Linked DNA regions of Arabidopsis thaliana. The protein of the gene in region 2 purifies or fractionates together with the protein of the main gene of each other region. This does not show direct contact. Each region holds a gene or a part of one and is shown on either strand. Other genes may lie near its edges.

The links.
Region 1: the proteins of PRL (region 2) and CEL3 purify together in Arabidopsis thaliana (affinity purification with mass spectrometry, with the first as the bait; one large-scale study listed by BioGRID). This does not show direct contact.
Region 3: the proteins of PRL (region 2) and AT2G31920 purify together in Arabidopsis thaliana (affinity purification with mass spectrometry, with the first as the bait; one large-scale study listed by BioGRID). This does not show direct contact.

Annotation. Positions count from the first base shown.
Region 1 is NC_003070.9:26,898,781-26,904,797, forward strand, and holds CEL3 (cellulase 3), read right to left. Parts: upstream 3,197-6,017; 5' UTR 2,970-3,196; coding exon 2,775-2,969; intron 2,701-2,774; coding exon 2,197-2,700; intron 2,117-2,196; coding exon 1,967-2,116; intron 1,889-1,966; coding exon 1,777-1,888; intron 1,703-1,776; coding exon 1,209-1,702; 3' UTR 985-1,208; downstream 1-984. Other genes in the region: AT1G71370 (DEA(D/H)-box RNA helicase family protein), read right to left, coding at 1-265, 332-601.
Region 2 is NC_003075.7:898,055-906,091, forward strand, and holds PRL (Minichromosome maintenance (MCM2/3/5) family protein), read left to right. Parts: upstream 1-2,581; 5' UTR 2,582-2,629; intron 2,630-2,700; 5' UTR 2,701-2,747; exon of another isoform or gene 2,748-3,018; intron 3,019-3,121; exon of another isoform or gene 3,122-3,193; intron 3,194-3,320; exon of another isoform or gene 3,321-3,365; 5' UTR 3,366-3,429; coding exon 3,430-3,460; intron 3,461-3,551; coding exon 3,552-3,619; intron 3,620-3,722; coding exon 3,723-3,782; intron 3,783-3,870; coding exon 3,871-4,094; intron 4,095-4,181; coding exon 4,182-4,359; intron 4,360-4,446; coding exon 4,447-4,569; intron 4,570-4,649; coding exon 4,650-4,739; intron 4,740-4,998; coding exon 4,999-5,141; intron 5,142-5,291; coding exon 5,292-5,469; intron 5,470-5,762; coding exon 5,763-5,954; intron 5,955-6,047; coding exon 6,048-6,220; intron 6,221-6,313; coding exon 6,314-6,517; intron 6,518-6,593; coding exon 6,594-6,759; intron 6,760-6,837; coding exon 6,838-7,059; intron 7,060-7,144; coding exon 7,145-7,243; 3' UTR 7,244-7,537; and 1 more. Other genes in the region: STP7 (sugar transporter protein 7), read right to left, coding at 333-1,409, 1,496-1,815, 1,897-2,041; MSH6 (MUTS homolog 6), read left to right, coding at 8,025-8,037. UniProt on the Arabidopsis thaliana protein: Probable component of the MCM2-7 complex (MCM complex) that may function as a DNA helicase and which is essential to undergo a single round of replication initiation and elongation per cell cycle in eukaryotic cells.
Region 3 is NC_003071.7:13,571,756-13,577,905, forward strand, and holds AT2G31920 (elongation factor 1-delta, putative (DUF936)), read right to left. Parts: upstream 4,627-6,150; 5' UTR 4,613-4,626; coding exon 4,043-4,612; intron 3,644-4,042; coding exon 3,266-3,643; intron 3,198-3,265; coding exon 3,106-3,197; intron 3,016-3,105; coding exon 2,298-3,015; 3' UTR 2,265-2,297; downstream 1-2,264. Other genes in the region: CHX21 (cation/H+ exchanger 21), read left to right, coding at 1-340, 436-2,264; AT2G31930 (uncharacterized protein), read left to right, coding at 5,811-6,150.

The DNA.
Region 1 (6,017 bases), on a different chromosome or scaffold from region 2:
GTCTATCGGCCTCATCTAAGATAAGAATCTCGAGATTTCGAAAATCCAGAAACTCCATTCGTTTCATCATATCTGAAAGCCTTCCAGGGGTGCCGATCAAGAGATTGGCTCCTTCTTCTTCGAGAGTATTCATGTCAGCTTCCACCTCTCGACCTCCAACAAGCAGGACAGAGTTCACATTTGGCAAAGTCGAGACAAATGGCTCTGCCACCTTATGTATCTGCGCTGATAGCTCTCTAGTTGGCGATATAATCACCCCCATTACCTGAGATTGAAATTGTTAACATATAGCATAAGCTACTACTCTTGATATTCGGCTAATTCTCCTTACCTGGTGTGGCTTCGGAGGGTAGGAGTTGGATCGACGGATAATCTCTATGAAGGGAAGGAGGAAAGCTAGGGTTTTTCCAGAACCAGTGGCTGCGTCGACGACAACATCCTTGTGGCTGCAGAGGAAAGGGATCGTCTCGGCCTGAACCGGAGTGCAGACCTCGAAACCGGACCGGTCAAGCGCCTCGATGATATCTTCTGAGAGCGGAGGTTTGAGTTCAGAGAAACGCGGCAGAGCCTTGGTGATAGTCTTCGGCGGCGATGAATCCATGACGGCCGCCGCTTGCTTGTCGCTCACTCCAGATTATTTTTTAGCTATGATCTACATCAAAATTTTGTTCGAAATCTGTTGTTTTTGCTACAGTTTCTCCTAAAAGCCCACTAAGAGAAAAAATATCTCTCGGCCCATTAGTTTCAATTCTCTCTCGGCCCATTGTTTGGCATATGTGTAATTCCTTTTAGCAGAAAACGATATTTTGTCTTTACATTTCCTACTTAATGCATATCTTTCAGCTGTTTAATCTTTGTACTGATGACATAATTGACAAGTAAATATTCTAGTGTTCTTTCATGACATAATTGACAAGTAAATATTCTAGTGTTCTTTCATGGTGCTATAACCAAACATGAAATATTTCCGTGGTGCTTAATTAACGGCCTTGGTTGAATATTTGAAACGCGTAATGATGATGGTTAGAGTTAAATAAGACCACGAGAAATATTTCCGTCGGGTCCTTTAGTATTGGGTCTTAGCCCATTAAGAGTTTTACATTTAAATAACTTTGTCCCTTCTGATTTTCACGTTAGGCTTGGACCAACGGATCTTTAACTAACAATGGAACTACAAATCGGAGAATGTGGCGGTGGCGAATTCAATTTCAAGTCGAACGGCCGGCGGCGAAGTACGCCAAAGGTCCGACGAAGGCGGCGTTTATATAAGTCGCCGGTTCCGCGTGACTATAATCGTCTCTCTGATCTGGATACCCATCGTTTTGATTCGGACCTCCTACGATTGCTCCGGTGAGAATGTTAGGGTTAGGGTTTTGAGTGTAGAACGATTGGAATCCACCATTGCAGCCTAACGATTGAGAACGAAGTGCGTGTGAAGGAAGAGAAGATGCTCTGTGGTGGATTCTCTTAGGGAAATTGGAAGAGAATCCAACCATGTATGACATTTTGATTGGGTTATCTCCGAGTATGTAATCAACTTGTCGCTTCGATAGGCTTATCAAGGCGTTGGGGACGATAACGGAGCTTCCGCAATTGAATGTGTGTTTTGTGGCTTTCATGTATTTGGCGTAAGTTGTGAGCAAGAATGTTATGGAGGTTACGTACTGAAGATTGCTTTGAGGTAGCTTGTACATTAATCCTCCTGTAATTGGTAAACATATGATTAGAAGAGGTTGTTGTTTAGCAATTTGTGTTCTATATCGTGAAGTAGGTTACCTTGAGTGTATTGGGTAGAGGAAGAAGGAGAATCTGGAAGGATTTTGCAGATGAAATTCTCAGCTGCTTGCTTATATTGTTCAAAGTTGCTGTCTTTGTTAAGTAATGCTCTCTGCCAAAATGTAAAAGTTAGATAGTGTGATGCTAAAAGCTATGTTCTCAATGAGTTTTTATTAGCAGAGAGACAAACCCGTGAGAGAAGAACATAGGCACCAGCATATTTATTGTCCCAGCTGAAGATGTCAGGCTGATCTCCACCTCCTAAAGATTTTATGAAGTTTGCGTAATACGGGTTATTCGTTGCTCTTAGCAGCCATGACGCACCCCACATTAGCTCGTCCTGTGTTCATAAATTCACATTTTTAAAAATGAGGATCTGATGTAGTGGTAAGAGTGGTTTAGTTTCATGTGAAAGCAGACCTTGTAACCAGAGTAGGAGCAGTAGAAAGGACAGACAGATGAGGAAAGGGAATCACTGTAAGCTCCCTGGTACTGAATGGCAAACTGCATCACATCCTTAGCTGTTGCGAGCAGCAAACGTGAATACTTGGAATCAACTTTTCTGAAAACCATAGAAGCTGCAGCTAGAGCTGCTGCTGTTTCAGCTGCGACATCAGAACCAGGATTGGAAGCGGATACAGAGTAAACTGTACGTGGTGTGTCCATGTCTTCAGGCCGTTCCCAGCATTTGTGATCAACATTAGGATCTCCTACACCGACATAAAGCTTCCCCGGCGTGGCTCTGGCACATTTCAGCAGATAATCTGTGGCCCAACGGATGTTCACACGTGCATTTTCCAGCTCAGGACCCATCCGTTTACCGTATTCCAGTGCGCTCCATGAGAGCATTGTGGTGGTAAACGCCATTGGTAAATTGAACTTGACGTTGTCTCCTGCGTCATAGTACCCGCCGGTTAAGTCCACCTGCAATTCATATATCAATGTTACTAACAAAGATATATTCTGTATCAAAGTTAAATATGGTTTAAGGTGTGTACATGAGCAGCAGAGCCATCGGAAAGGCCAGAGCTAGCCCTCCAGGAAATTTGTTGGCCTCTAGGAAGAGGACCAGATCGCTGACCTTGGAAGAAGAGCAATGACTTGGAGAGAGCTTCTTTGTAATTTGGGTTGGCATCGCCATTGCTTATGAGAAGAGACGAGAAAAGGAGAACAAAGAAGAAAAGAGAAGTCATCTTGAAGACAGAGAGCTAAATTGCTTTTGAGGTTTGAAGTACGAAGCTATTACGTGAAGGTCCACATATATATACAGAGAGATAGGAGAGAGAAGGATCCTGCGCTGAAGGAAGCGATAATTATGGCTTTTTGGTTATCAACGTGCTGCTCCTAAACAAAGTAACCTTAATCCTCCTTTTTTACTATTTTATGGTTTAGGTTAGTTCATACCTTAATATTGCTTAACCAAATCCTTTTCTTTTTTTTTTGTCTATTGTTAAATTCTAGTTGTTTCACCTTTGTTTGTCCATTCTAGTTGTTTCACCTTTGTTTGTCCATTCAAATTCCTCTGTACGTTTTTTCTTTTATGTCAATTGTTAAGTATTTTCTTAAAAGTGTTGAGAAACGGAAGAAATTAAACTAGGTTATTTGATATTAGTGGGGGTGTATTGGGAAGCAAGAAAGTCTTAATAGTCTCTTATTTCCTAAGAGGTAGTATTGGGACATGAATAAACGAAATATAAACGCACGTAACGACTTTGCGTCTTCTCGAAAAGATACTGTTATAGTCAAATGTCGAATGCAAAAGTTGGACTCTTTTATTCTCAAAAGACGGAAGAGTTTTCAGTTTTTTGATATACTGATATCTATGTATTTTAAAAAAATTAATCGGATGGATTTCAAAAAAAAAAATTTGAAGCGGAAGTCTTTGATTCGTATTTTTCCTTATATGAGATTTTGATCCGATTTTTTTTTGCAATCGAATCAGATCGTTCCCTTTTTGAGATTTTTCCTACATAAAATCCAAACGACATTTAATCATTGATTTTTTCAATTTATCGTGTATATACAATATACTTGTAAAGTAAATGGTTTCATATTTTAATGCAAAGCAAATATCCAACGTATATTAACTTAACAAACCAATATTTGATATTTAAACTGTTTCCTATAAAAATGCTACAAATTATGACCCCATTAATATTTGTCTCATAAATCAACTGAACCATATAAAATCGACATTCAATCACACCTACTGAATTGGAAATGATTCCTAACTAAACGATTTTATTTCTAAGATATCTAATACTTGCTAAACAAGTAACGTTTTCCTTTTATGCAAACCTAAGTTTGTTTTTAATATATTTCCTAGTTACGATATACATAGACTGTTTAAAATTTTGAAATGGGCAGTTTCGGGGTTAAAATGGATCTACCGTAGTAAGAATATGTTCATATATGGGTATAGTTAGGGAGTGCATAGTTGAATTAGGTTAGGGGGATTAAGTGATTTTGAATTTAAAAAGAGGAGACAAAAGATAAAAGGGAAGCGTGAATGGCGCCAAGATAACGGCGCCGAGTCTTGGAACGTAATCAAAAGTGTGTGTTTAGTGTAATGGAGACGAAATTGATGCCTTAATCCACTTTCTTATCCCATGTGTTTATTATAGTATTACTCTCTTTATTTGCTTTTTCTTTCATGGGACATTCTTTTTGTTTAGCTTGTGTAATAACAAAAGCGAGTAAAAAGGCGACAACGTGTCTGCTCGATGTCATTGATCTTCTGACATTATATGAGTTAAGAGAATGATTAACTTGGGTATAATGTATTTATCAATGTTTAAGCAGACGCGTGATGAAAGCTTCAGGTAATACTTATTAGTAATTGTAATCATTCGATATCACTAGTCGCAATCAGGACTCAAAATATCATACTAATATTTTTCTCCCGTAAAGATTAATGGTTTGCATGAGAATAATAAATAGATCAAGAGAGATTTCAGAATTAAGCAACAGTTTATCTCTTGTTTTTTACTCACATGCTTAATGATTTTTTTACTCCTGGTGGCCCTACCCACTGATACTACTCGAAGAATTTTCGGTTGTTTTGTTGGCAAATGATTTTTTTGTATCCTTTTTGTCAAAAAGGTGTTTTCTTTTTATTCTTTCATGTTTGTACTTCTGAATGGCTTTTACATTTTGTTGAGGAGGACAAACAGTGGATACCATCCACGACTATGCGAGGAAAATTTTGGAGGAAATTTTTTTAGCCGAAGATTTGATTGCTAAAGTTGGACTTGGATCCTCTAGTAACCATTTGACTCTTTCTTTATAATAAAAACTACACCAAAATAAATGTAGATTTATTATATATTTATATATAGATGCACGACTATGTACTGTATTAGGGATTTAAATTAGCACATATATGTAGGCTATTCGTATTAATGGGCCTTCACAGGCAATCAATTTGGAAACCAACCACACAGGCCCCAAGGTCTAGTGTTTGAGTCAATTACGATATATAACGACAATTATCTTATCCCACAGCTTGTTATGAAGAAATCTGTGTATGTTGCCGGAGTTAAAAGGTAGTTTTAATTTCCAAGTCTTTTGATTTGTCAAATCAAATTTTCAGATGGACATAATCTAGCCATCTGTTGAGAACGATGATATAATTCGTTTAGGAATAGAAATTGGCTAAGCTTTAATAGATATACCCTAAACTCTATGGTCTCGAAAAAGACTGTGGAGAATTAACCCTTGTCCTGAATCCTACATCACAACAACCCAAGGATCTAGTAGTTAGAGGAGGAGGAAAAAATGTTTAACTGTGTAGCAGCTGCAATAGCTTATGGACCTGGTGTTTTCTGTGGTTTGGTGATCGGATACATCTTTTCTTCACACAAGCAAGAATGGTTCGCTGAAAAGTTTGGTCCCAAAAAAAAAAAAAGTCATAGTCACCCCAAGTGTTCGCTAAACCCATTTCTTGTAGTCTCTATGCCTTTGTGAAGCATTGTGTAACGTCTTGTTCATATTTGTATTGAATTTTTCAGGTGTGTCCTCCAAAAGACTCGTTTGTGTTGTACTTTTCTATTGTATGAGTTGTAATAAACGTATATGGTGGTGTTTAATACATCTTGGCTTGTTGCACATCAGGACTAATTAATAGATGCAGTTTAGAATTAAAATCATTATTTTTAGTTTTTTTCTTACTTTAGTCAAGGTTAATGCATGCGTATGAAGATGAATTAACATCAAATTGAATTCGTCTTCACCAACCATTC
Region 2 (8,037 bases):
ATCGAAACCGTCTTTTGATGGTCTCGTAAGAGCAGATGTGTGAAGAAATCCTGAGATAGAGAGTAAACAAATCTCTTTGTTTATCTCAAAGAAGAAGAAGAAGATGGAGAATGTGATCACAAAACGCCAATTGCAACCAAAATCTTTACTCTGTAATCGAGTGTTTTGGTGTAACAGTCACTGTGACTATTTTCAATCGCTTTTTTTTAGTTTTGTTTCGGATTTTGAAGTTTGTAGTTGTCACTTTCACATGGGATTCAAATCTCTCCTTATGCAATAAAAAACCTTATAGTAATACAAACATAAGTTTCTTGAATCAGTTTATATTCTCTTTAAACAGATACATTCTTGCTCTCATCTTCAAGATTTGTTGCATCAGGTAATACTTTTTTCCAGAACCAATGTTTACTCCATAAGAGTGTCATCTCTTCTATTGGAACTCCTTTGGTTTCAGGCAACAGGAAATACACAAAGATAGTCATTACTGTCACCCAACCAGCAAAGAAGAGGAAGATTCCAAACTTGAATGCACAGAGGAGACCAAGGAAAGCTTGAGCTATGATGAAAGTGAAGAGGAGATTTACAGCTACTGTGATACTCTGCCCCGCTGAACGAGTCTCTAACGGAAAGATTTCGCTAGGTATGGTCCAACCTAGAGGACCCCATGACCATCCGAACGCTACAACAAAGAGGCAGATGAAGATGACTACGATCACTGAGTACCCTTTTGATAGCTCTTGGTTGTCTCCAAATTTCACTCCTAAGATCACTGCTACTATGACTTGACAGATTATCATTTGTATTCCTCCAGTTATGAGAAGAGCTCTTCGTCCCAATCTGTCTACTAATCCTATGGAAATAAATGTTGATAGGACAAGAACAGCTCCTGTTAAAGCTGATGAATAGAGAGATGCGTTTCCTCCAAACCCCATTGTCTGGAACAGAACAGGTGCGTAGAAGAGAATGGAGTTTATCCCTGTGAGTATCTGAAACATTGGCATGCAAATAGCCATAACTAGCTGAGGCCTGTGTCGTTTCTGCAAGATGTTTCTGAATGGATGTTTGATGGAATTCGCAAGCTCACTCGCATCTACCATGTCTTGAAGCTCGGCGTTGACGTTTTCTGTTCCTCTTAGCTTCACTAAGACTCGTCGACCTCTCTCTGTTAATCCTCTTTCGACCAAACTGTTTGGTGTCTCGGGTAAGAAATACCCGCCAAGCGTCATAAGCAGAGCTGGAAAAGCAGCTAAACCAAGAGAGAGTCTCCATCCCCAAGGCTTAAGCTGTTGAGTACCGTAATTAACCATGTTCGCTGTAAAGATCCCGATAGTTGTAGCTAGCTGAAACATCATGTTTAAACCACCTCGTAGATGAGTTGGTGCCACTTCTGATAAATACAAAGGAACCGCCTGAAAGCAAAAACCAAAGCAAGGTAACTTTCATTAGAGATGAGATTGGTTTATTATTGGTGACACCAACTAAACAATTGTCTAACCTGATTTCCAAATCCAATACCAACACCAAGCATGATCCGTCCGGCAAGAAGCATAGCTAAGTTCACAGCTCCAGCATTCAAACCAGATCCAATAAGAAAGCTGATTCCACCACAAACAATACTCGCACGCCTACCGTAGTTCCTAGTGATGGGTGAAGCCACGAGAGTCGAAACCAAACCAGCTAAGTAGAGTGAAGAAGTGAAAGCAGCTAAGCCTTGATTATCATATTTGCAGTAATTACTTTCATGAGCTTGCTTCTTCTTCTCATAAACCGTGTGGAAAAACTCCTCAAGAAACTCATCCATCGATGTAACTCCTCCTGCATACAAACAAAAAACCATTTCAGCCATTGTTTGATAAGATTATTAAGAAATTGGATTCAAAAGATGAAGAAAAGAACCTGAGATTCCAATGTCATATCCAAAGATGGATCCACCAATAGCTGCAACAAGGCAAGCGATTATAACATAACTAGTGACTTTCCCTTGGTATTGTTCTGCTCTCTCCTTAGCCACACCGGTCGGACCAAACGACCCTCCTGCCATTTTCTTTTCTTCTTCTTCTTCTTCTTCTTCTGCTACTACTTTGCTTCTTTTTAAGAGTTTGTTGCAACGGTTGACTTTTTTTCTTGCTTTTACTCAAATTCCAGAATCTGAGAGACAACGAAACAAAAAGGGTTATACACATTTACATCTTCACGTGGTTAGATAGATTTCAATTTGGTTAGGTTTTGGGAAAATTTTAAATGTGAAGTTTTGCCACTTTGAGATTTGTGATAATTGCGTATGGATTCGTGTTTGGTACATAATTGTTTGGAATTAAGTTCCAACAAGTAAATACGTCATTTTCTTGACCTTATCTTCACATAACAAATTAAAAATTTAATACTGATTTTGCATGTCTTCCTCCTACTTTGATCTCTATTTCCACAAAAATCATCAATGCTCGTTGGAATATTGTCAGAATATACTAATGCTATATAAGAAAACAAATACAAAAAGAGGTTTTATACTTTTTTGGTCAAATGTCATCTTCATAATAAAAAAAAAGATTACGATCTTATCCCGTTCTAACAAGTAACACCTCGGAAAAAAAAGAAATCAAAATCCTTCCTAGTAAAAAAAAAAAAAAAAGTTGGTTTCAGACAGAAAGTGAAGAATCAAGACAAGTGTGATGATTTTCGTCATAGGTTGAAAGAAAACAGATTAAAAAAAAAAGAAGAGGACTTACAGGAGAAAGAAGAAGGAAGATGTAACGATTTGTTGTAGACTGGGAAATGATTCAGACTTGTGTGTGCTATTTATTCCATGGATTTTTTGATCGCCTACTATGAAGGCGATGTTAAAGATGATGTTGACCAAGTTTTGATCAAAGTCGAATACAGAGAGACTAAATATACAACAACAAAAAAAAAAATCAAAAGCTTTAAATTCACACACACAAATTTCGATAGTAGCTATGGATTTAAGACAAGTGTAAGAAGAAATCACACTAGTTTTCAACGTAAGGAGGATGATGAAGATGACATTATTGTATCCACATTTGTCACCCATTTTTTGGAAACAGATGATAATATTATTAAATCTTTGGTTAATTAAATACTAAGGGAAAGAAATAACACAAAAGTGGTTGTAGTATAGCGGTTAGTATCCCACGTTGTGGCCGTGGGGACCCGGGCTCGAATCCCGGCAGCCACACTTTTTGTTACCTCTTCTTTTTTATTTCCAGCAGGGGTAGTTTCGACATTACATTAATCACGTGATCATTAGATCTGGACCGTTCATTTTACTCCCCGCCATTTCTCTCTATAATACTTTTCCCGCCTAAACTCATCGTCATCTACAACCCTTTTACCGCCCAATTTTGCAGTCACTGGTTCATTCCTTTCTCTTCTTCCTCTTCCACTCTCTCTCTCGACCCAAGTTTTGAAACCATGAAAGACCACGATTTCGACGGCGACAAAGGTTACATTCTCTCTTCTTCTCCGTTCTCGATAATCTTTTCCCTCTTTTTTCGCTGAGTTTTGATTCTCACTTTTTTTCTTCTTGTATATAGGGCTTGCCAAGGGATTTCTCGAGAATTTCGCCGACGCTAATGGCAGATCTAAGTACATGGAGATTCTCGTAAGTCTCATTTCCAATATCTTCCACCAATTTCTCTCTTCTAGGGTTTTCGCGAATCTCCCTAATTTTAGGGTTTTATGTTCTATTTTATGAATTTGTGTAGCAAGAGGTTTCAAATCGTAAGATTCGAGCTATTCAAGTCGATCTCGATGACTTATTCAATGTGAGTTTTTTTTTGTTTCTCTCTAATGTTGTTTCTGTTTTGGATGTTGCTATTGTAGAAGCCACTCATCTCTTTTGATATTGTGTAGTATAAAGATGAAAGTGAGGAGTTTCTCGGACGGTTGACGGAAAACACTCGCCGATATGTTTCAATTTTCTCCGCCGCTGTTGACGAGTTGTTACCCGAACCAACGGAAGCGTTTCCAGATGATGATCATGATATTCTCATGACTCAGAGAGCAGATGATGGGACTGATAATCCAGATGTTTCTGATCCTCATCAGCAGATTCCTTCTGAGATTAAAAGATATTAGTAAGTTTTGTCTGAGTCTATTTGCTGGACATAAGCTTTAGGGAATGAGTTTTACAATAGTTTGCTAATGAATTTACTTTTATTCAGTGAGGTTTATTTTAAAGCTCCTTCAAAGGGAAGGCCATCTACCATCAGGGAGGTTAAGGCTTCACACATTGGGCAACTTGTTAGGATATCTGGTATTGTGACCCGTTGTTCCGATGTCAAGCCATTGATGGCGGTTGCTGTTTACACATGTGAAGATTGTGGTCATGAGATTTACCAGGTACAACTATGCTTTTGCCAGATTGTAGTTTCTTTTTTATTTTGTTAACTACTAACTCTGATTATTTTCTTTTACATGTCAAATCAGGAAGTTACATCTAGAGTCTTCATGCCTTTGTTTAAGTGTCCTTCTAGTCGCTGTCGTCTTAATAGTAAAGCCGGGAATCCTATTCTTCAGCTCAGAGCATCAAAGTTTCTAAAGTTTCAGGAGGTTCTGTTTCTGGTCAATGAGTGCCATTTATGTGAATGCACTGATATCAAACTAATGAGTAAAAAATCATTGTCTTGCAGGCCAAGATGCAAGAGTTGGCTGAACATGTTCCCAAAGGGCATATTCCGAGGTCTATGACTGTTCATCTAAGAGGAGAGTTGACAAGAAAGGTACCTTTTCTTGACCTCAGTCTCATGCTACTATTGGAGTCTATTTGTTCTACTTTCGGAATCAATAGCTCGGTTGCTTAGGAATAGTCCAATGAGAAGTTGTTGTTCGGCTTAAAAGCATATGCTGAACAGTTGTTGATTAAGAGGATTTTTTTTTCCAATGTTGTACTGGGACTCTATCTGTAGATATTGTGATATCAGCGTCATTTACTATCGTACAATTGTGAAATTCTTACTAAATTTCCTTAAACCCTTGTAGGTATCACCAGGTGATGTTGTTGAGTTCTCAGGGATTTTTCTTCCCATTCCTTACACTGGGTTTAAGGCACTTCGAGCTGGCTTAGTAGCAGACACCTATCTGGAAGCAACGTCTGTTACTCATTTCAAGAAGAAATATGAGGAGTAAGGCGTTGTTACACCTTTACACTAACGAAACATTCTGATTTAGTAACCTATTCCATGTTTTTCTGCATTTGCTTAAGATACAAAGCAGCTTTCGTGTGTGCACAATATCAGAAAGCATCTTTATACCTTTTTCATTATGATCTACAGATATGAGTTTCAGAAAGATGAGGAAGAACAGATTGCACGTTTGGCTGAGGATGGTGACATATACAATAAGCTGTCGCGATCCCTGGCCCCTGAGATTTATGGACATGAAGATATTAAGAAAGCTTTGCTTCTCCTTCTTGTGGGTGCTCCTCACAGGCAATTAAAGGATGGAATGAAGGTGAACTTTCCTGTCCTCTGATTTATTCTGGCAAAATTTCCATGATATTGCTATCTATTATGATAAAGAGTAAAGACTGTACACTGATTAGAAAGCAGTTGCTTGCTTTAGTTCATCTCCGACTATATTGTTTTACCTATTTCCATACAGTGTCCGCAGTCTTCATTGATTGAGTTATGGAGCTTTATTATTTACAAACATGTTCAGTCATTCAAGAGCACATTGCACTTGATTGGAACACATTTTATCTGTGAAGATTTAAAAACAATACATTCATTAATTATCTTTTGCAGATTAGAGGAGATGTGCATATCTGTCTGATGGGTGATCCTGGAGTTGCCAAGAGTCAGCTTCTCAAGCACATTATAAATGTTGCTCCAAGGGGAGTCTACACAACAGGCAAAGGTAGCAGTGGAGTTGGTCTAACTGCCGCTGTTATGAGAGATCAAGTAACAAATGAGATGGTTTTAGAAGGAGGAGCACTGGTGAGAGACAATGCCCTTTTGCTTTGGATATATTTTAGAAAATATGATGTAAGAGCTATGTGATTTAGAAGTTTGATACAATCTCTATCTCAGGTGCTGGCTGACATGGGAATCTGTGCAATTGATGAGTTTGATAAGATGGATGAATCAGATCGTACTGCTATTCATGAGGTCATGGAGCAGCAAACTGTAAGCATTGCAAAAGCTGGGATTACCACGTCTTTGAATGCTCGAACAGCTGTTCTTGCTGCAGCCAATCCAGCCTGGTAAGTGAACTCTCATGATATGAATTAAAAACTCATGAATGTTGAGTGATCATTGCTATCATTATTGAACTATGTATCTTTGTGTTTATGAAGGGGAAGATATGATTTGCGAAGAACTCCAGCTGAAAACATTAATCTTCCACCGGCCCTTCTTTCAAGATTCGATCTGCTGTGGTTGATCTTAGATCGAGCTGACATGGACAGTGACCTTGAATTGGCAAAGCATGTGCTTCACGTACATCAGACAGAAGAATCTCCTGCGCTTGGTTTCGAGCCTCTGGAACCCAACATTCTCCGGTAAGTTAAATCGCTTTTACAGCATTCTTGTTCTGCAAAGTCAGAAACTTTAACATGAGCATATTTGGTTCTCTAGTGCATACATTTCAGCTGCAAGGAGATTATCACCATACGTCCCAGCAGAGTTGGAGGAATATATAGCAACTGCTTATTCCAGCATCAGGCAAGAAGAAGCGAAATCAAATACTCCTCATTCTTACACAACAGTGAGGACACTGCTCAGCATTCTGCGCATATCCGCTGTAAGTAGAATTTGTGTAGGAACTTGAGTAAATTAGTTGGACTATTGAGTGTTAATATATTTCCGATTTGTTCTATAGGCATTAGCAAGGTTGAGATTTTCAGAATCAGTGGCACAGAGTGATGTGGATGAGGCGCTTAGACTAATGCAGATGTCGAAAATATCATTGTATGCTGATGACCGACAAAAAGCAGGACTAGATGCAATATCAGACACATACTCAATCATAAGAGACGAAGCTGCAAGATCAAAAAAGACCCATGTGAGCTACGCAAATGCCCTGAACTGGATCTCCAGAAAGGTTAGTTTCTTCCTTCATCTTCATCTTCATGTTCTTTCTGAAAATGGATGATCACTGAGACGAGAGATTTGGGGTGTGAAAACAGGGATACAGTGAGGCTCAGCTAAAGGAGTGTTTGGAGGAATATGCAGCTTTGAATGTTTGGCAGATTGATCCTCACACCTTTGACATCCGTTTTATCTGAGTAACACCACCCAAAAAAAAAAAATGGAAACAAACCAAGTCTCTCTTGTTATGTTGTGTGCTTTATCTCTATTATCTTATCACATTTCTTAACGTAGAGACCTTAGAAGTGGAATCTATAGAAGTGATCTCTTGATTGCAGAACAAACTTTACTTTTGGAAATTTAGATGTGACTTTGTACTCTTGCAGTTCTTTTCACTCTCGCAAATTTACTACGGTTTTGATCTAGGTTTGATTAAAACACTTCTTAGTCTAATTTTGTATCCATGTCAGTAATATACTTTCAGTTTGGTATAATTTGATTTCATTATTACAATCATAAAATATTGTAAGTACCATGCTAACATATTTTCAAAAAAATTCTAAAAGTGGAATTTTGGGATTTTTATGACAATTTTGGAAAACAGAACAATTTTCGGTTTAGTAACATAACAGATCGGTTCTGGATCGGTTTAAGAATTAATGGGCCATATTATTATACTTTTAAGCCCATTAATACAGAGCAAAGCCCATTTACGTCGTTGCAATATCTCACTCACTCCATAAGCTTTTAACGGCATGAATAATTCGATTTTCGAGATGGCACAGAGAGAGAGCGAGTATTATTACTAGAGCGTTGTTTCCCGCCAATTAGCAACTTTCGCCGGCGTATTTTCCCGGTGAAAAATTCCCGCGCAATCTCTTCACTCCATAATAAGCTTCTCTCATCAATCTCGCTCTCTTCGCCGACTGTTTCACTCCCCTTCTCTCTCACTCTCTGTGCGCTTTATTCCACTCTCCGATGGCTCCGTCTC
Region 3 (6,150 bases), on a different chromosome or scaffold from region 2:
AACGTTTTCCTCCTCGGTCTCGGCTTGGACTTGAGGATGATAAAGATCAAAGACATCAAACCAGTGATCATAGCCATTGTTGGCCTCCTTGCGGCTTTACTTGCCGGTGCTGGCTTATACTACCTTCCCAGTAACGGAGAGGCCGACAAAATCCTAGCAGGTTGTATGTACTGGTCGATCGCATTTGGCTGTACAAATTTCCCTGATCTTGCTAGGATTCTTGCGGATCTCAAGCTCTTGCGTACGGATATGGGACATACTGCAATGTGTGCAGCCGTTGTTACTGATTTGTGCACTTGGATTCTCTTCATTTTTGGAATGGCGATTTTTTCCAAATCTGGTAACTAAATATGGTTGTTCCCTTGTGTTATTTTTCCTCACACACGCATAGTTACTGAATTATAGTACTAACGAAAACCATATTTAATTTGTTAGGTGTACGCAACGAAATGTTGCCATACTCATTAGCATCAACCATAGCTTTTGTCCTTCTCTGCTACTTTGTGATCCAACCTGGAGTGGCTTGGATCTTCAACAACACCGTCGAAGGAGGTCAAGTGGGAGACACTCACGTATGGTACACTCTCGCTGGAGTCATTATTTGCAGCTTAATCACCGAAGTATGTGGGGTTCACTCAATTACCGGAGCATTCTTGTTCGGTCTATCGATCCCTCATGACCACATCATTCGAAAAATGATCGAAGAGAAGCTCCACGATTTCCTCTCGGGAATGCTAATGCCTCTTTTCTACATCATCTGCGGTTTAAGAGCTGATATTGGTTACATGAACAGGACCGTGAGCGTTGGAATGATGGCGGTTGTGACTTCTGCGTCGGTTATGGTGAAGATTTTGTCAACGATGTTTTGCTCCATTTTCTTGCGTATACCTTTGCGTGATGGTTTAGCCATTGGTGCACTTATGAATACCAAGGGAACAATGGCACTAGTCATTCTCAATGCTGGACGAGACACCAAGGCATTGGACGTTATTATGTACACTCATCTGACGTTGGCGTTTCTAGTGATGTCAATGGTGGTGCAGCCACTATTAGCCATTGCTTACAAACCAAAGAAGAAGTTGATTTTCTATAAAAACCGAACCATTCAAAAACACAAAGGAGAGTCAGAGCTTTGTGTATTGACATGCGTCCATGTCCTCCCTAACGTCTCTGGCATAACCAATCTATTACAACTCTCTAACCCGACCAAGAAATCTCCTCTTAACGTTTTTGCTATCCACCTAGTCGAGCTAACGGGTCGCACCACGGCTTCGTTGCTCATTATGAACGATGAGGCCAAACCGAAAGCTAACTTTGCTGACCGAGTTAGAGCGGAATCTGACCAGATCGCTGAGATGTTCACAGCTCTCGAAGTGAACAACGACGGGGTAATGGTTCAGACCATTACCGCGGTTTCACCTTACGCAACGATGGACGAAGATATTTGTTTGTTGGCCGAGGATAAACAAGCCTGCTTCATTTTATTGCCTTACCACAAGAATATGACGTCAGACGGTCGGTTAAATGAAGGTAACGCAGTGCACGCTGAAATCAACCAAAACGTTATGAGCCACGCGCCTTGTTCGGTTGGGATTTTGGTTGACCGTGGCATGACGACTGTCCGGTTTGAATCTTTTATGTTCCAAGGCGAAACCACAAAGAAAGAAATCGCCATGCTATTCCTAGGAGGTCGAGACGACAGAGAGGCTTTGGCTTACGCTTGGAGGATGGTGGGACAAGAAATGGTTCAACTCACGGTCGTTAGATTCGTCCCAAGCCAGGAAGCTTTAGTCTCAGCCGGGGAAGCCGCGGACGAGTACGAGAAGGATAAACATGTCGATGAAGAGTCCATCTACGAGTTTAACTTCAAGACTATGAATGATCCATCAGTGACTTATGTAGAGAAAGTGGTTAAGAATGGCCAAGAAACGATCACAGCGATTTTAGAACTGGAAGATAACAATTCTTACGATCTTTACATTGTGGGAAGAGGATATCAAGTAGAAACACCTGTGACCTCAGGGTTGACAGATTGGAATAGTACTCCGGATTTAGGGATTATAGGCGATACATTAATTTCATCAAACTTCACAATGCAAGCTTCGGTTCTTGTGGTCCAACAATACTCTTCTGCTAACAGACAAACCGCAGAAAACAACAATCAAGAACCTGTCCAAGGTAAAGCCAAGACCGATCATGAGGCTACGCCTTTTATGGAAGACGAGGATGATGAAGTAGAACATCAGTACAGTATGCGCAGATGATTGTTTTTTCTTAACCCATATTGTATACATTCTTTAGATGGAATTTATAATCTTTCTTTTCATATTGTAAGTATCCCCAATGACAGATTCAATATGCTCAAGTAGAAACCGTTGCAGCTTCTTTCTTAAATCTTCGACTTTCTCGTTCGTTTCTGTTCTGTTTAAGTTCAGATCATCGAGCCAATGGTTTAAAGCTTTAAGGTGGACGAGAAGAGACTCTTTTCCATTTGTTTCTTCCGTCTTCACCAAGAAAGACCCTTTGTTCAATGAATTCTCCAAATATTTCAAGAACCATTGGCTGGAAACTTGGACTAGCTCATCCGCTAGACTCGTTGAATCCTTCAGACTGCTTTTACCTTCTAAGCTACTTCGGTCTGAAACAGAACAATGTTTCGTTGCAGGCGGTTTCGCGCCTTTGTAGGATGGGGTTCTTGAACTTGTTGTCTCCTTGGGGTTCAGTTTCTCGGATGAGTTCTGCATAACAATGTAGTGATGATCAGCAGCATCACCTTTCTTTCCAGGCTCTTTAAATAAGTTGAACTGAGAAAAACCAGTCACTACCGCAGCTTGAACCCAAGATGTTGCATTTTTATTTACTACTAATCTACACGAGCCGTTGTTTCGATTTTGAGTAAGCAACCGATGGACCGCTTTGCATGTATTCTGTGTATTGTGGTAGATGTCCAAGAACCGGGCCACTACTTGTCCAGTAGATAACTTCTTAGTAGAATCACACAGCTCGGCAAAGGCCCTGAAGGAACAAATTCATATGTATGCTATTATTAAGGACTCGCAAACTCGTGTAATGAAACTGGTTAGGGATGAAATAGAGAAGACATACTGCAAACTAAATAGAACAGACTCCATGGCAGATGCTTCCTCCAGTGCACTTACTGCTGCCGAAACTGCTACTTGCCTATGTGATGAAACTTCCTGAAAGGAGGGGTTGAAAGACATGACTACGAATTCTTAGAGTCGGTAGATTGATCCAAATACCGTACCTTTCCGAGCAATTGAATGGTTTTTGGGAGTCCACTCCATGACATTCTTTGATCAGACCAAGTCATGTGACTTGAAGGCACCTTAAAAAGCGCAACCGGAGGAGTCACTGCCTTTGACAAGGACTTGATACCATCTTTAGGAGACCTAGTCACGGATATAGGTGATGCAGGCTTGACCACATATCTGCTTCTTAAAGCAGGGGTTTCGCAGTTAAGGTGCTTTGATATAGGTGACTTGATACCATCTTTCGGAGAACTAGCCATGGATATAGGTGATCCAGGCTTAACCACATTCTTGTTCCTTAAGGCAGGAGAGGTTCCACAGTTAAAGTACTTTGATGGGGACTCAATCTTTAGCAGACTCTTATCATTCAAGACCTGCAAAAACATCACAAATCTGTGAAAGCCAAGGACTTCAAGTGTATGAACTGTGAAACCAATATCAAATTGCTGTACTATCTATAAGAAACAACTTTTAAGGTCTTCCTGAAACAAACTATTTTAGCAACTTAAAGAACAAGAAACCCTACACCACTCAAAACAACAGCTTCCACAATCCAACCAAATGCAACAAAAAGAATCAAACAGAGTGACTCACAGAGCAACATTCAAGGTCTACGAAAACTAGTCTAGTAGTATTGTTGGTTTCTCACATGTCACATATATCAATCTCATACCATTGTAGGCAACTTAAAGGACAAGAATCCCTACAAACCACTAAAACAGAGCGATTCACAGAAAAAAAAAAAAAAAAAAAAAAAAAGATGAAAGGTGTACCAATTTAGATTTAAGACGTGGTGAAGAAAGAAGCAATGCAGCGTCACGACGACGAGTCACCGGAGGAGTTTGATCCCAACAACTCCTTCTCGCGGAATCCAAACTCAATCTCCTTGTTTCAACAAGATTCTTTTTCTTCGTCGTCGTCGGAGAAACAGAGACCTGAGTAAAAGGAAGCAGCAAATCGCTAGAATAAAGATCGCTAGGGTTTCCAACACACATCCTCCGCTTAGGGACTGGTTTCAAACCACGGATTACAGGAACAGGACATCCTTTCTCGACGTGTAAACCACCGCATATGTAAATGAATTGTCCTAGCTGAATTTCATCGGAACGTATCAGATCAGCGTCATCACCGGTGGAAACGGCGACGTAAGCTGCGTGGAGAGAGTCAGAGACTTTGACGAAGAATGCTTCGCTACGCCATTGGTCGTCAGAGAGACAAGGAACGATTTCTATGACTTGGAGGAGTGGTGAACGATGAGAAGACAACAATGGCGGCGAAGAAGGTGAGTTTCCGGCGGCGATATTGAGAAGGTTGGAGAGAACTCCAGGAGTGAGGGAAGCCATGGTGGGAAAAGAAGCTGAAGCATCTTTTGGGAGAAGGAAGAAGAAGAAGAGTGGGAAGGAATCTCAAAGAGAGAGAGAGAGAGAGGTGTCTCGGGGAATGTGGAGAGTTCGTCGTTTACTGTGTCGGGAAAAGTAAACAGTTTTGTCTCTCTGTCTTCGAGATTTGGTAAGGGCTGCAAGTAAAAAGCTTTTGTTGGTTGCAGGTGTAAAGCACGAGCCTTTTTGTCTCTTTTGTAATATCCGATTGTGATTTGCAAGTGAGACTTTTTAGCAATATTTGATGTACACTACCTACAACATACTATGCATGCGATTAGGATGAAGATTTCTTTTGTCATCATAAACCTATCTAATCCTAACATCATAAAGCCTTTTACACACATTTAAGCGTGTATTGTGATGGGCCAAGTCCAACTAAAATTACTCTATAGAGAAAAAATAATTGTAAGAATATTTTCATGCAAGGCCTGTTTGATGATTAATACCTTGTCAAATTTATGGGGGAGATGCTTGGAATAGAAAACTTAAGTGAAGTGTCCAATCATTTACTTACCTGTGTTTGTGTTGAGTGTTGACACTCCAACTCGCCCATCAGGTCGCACTCCAACCAACCTTCCAAATTTTGTGAACTTGCTTTGTTTGTACCTTTGTTATCCGGTATCTCTTTTTCCACTTTTTTTTATTACAAGAAAAGTACATGATAAGAAGTTTCGGATCTTAACATTTCCCTAGCTTGGCGACTGAGATGGGTTTGTATCAATCTTAGGATCCTATTTCTTTTCTGCTCGAGCTACAAAAGTTACAGACACAATCTAAGTGAATGAGCTATATTGAATTTTCGACACGAGCTAGATAAATCCACACTATTCTCACAATTTCGGTTTTAAACGTATGGATTATCAACCCAAGCCTAGAAATTTGGTCCGTTGTGGTTTCAATTTATTGTATGCTACAAGTAACCCAAAGTATCAAGATAAATTAAGATTAGTTACAAAATAGACATCTGAGTCACGATTGTAATCATTTCTTTATTTATTAATTAAGTAACGAGTAGTCCAAACACTCACAGTCACCGACCTCTTACGTTATCAATTCAAAAGTGAAAATGGACATATAGCTACTCCTAATTCCTCTATATAGTTTTCTCCTTTGAAAAAGAAAGAAAGAGTATAGATTCTCTTTTGTATGATTAATAACCATGGGAAGTGAAGTAGTAAACCCGACCAAGCCACGGTTTGATCTAAGCATGTCGAAAAGAACTCGAAAACCATGGTCTAGTCTCATCAACGATATGCATCACCATGCAATATGCACCCAAAGCTCACAACCAAAACCAGACAAAGAACAAGAGCAAATCGAAGACAAAGAGATTGATCGTAAGAGTTTGAACAATCTGATGAGATGCGATGAGAAATTGAATGGAGAAGCTGATGTTAACAACAAGAGCTCTCTAGATCAACATTTCGAGGATGGCGAGGGGATCAAGCCGACGATGCAATTGGTGGTGAAGAAAGAGAAGCAAGGTGGTTTGAAATTCA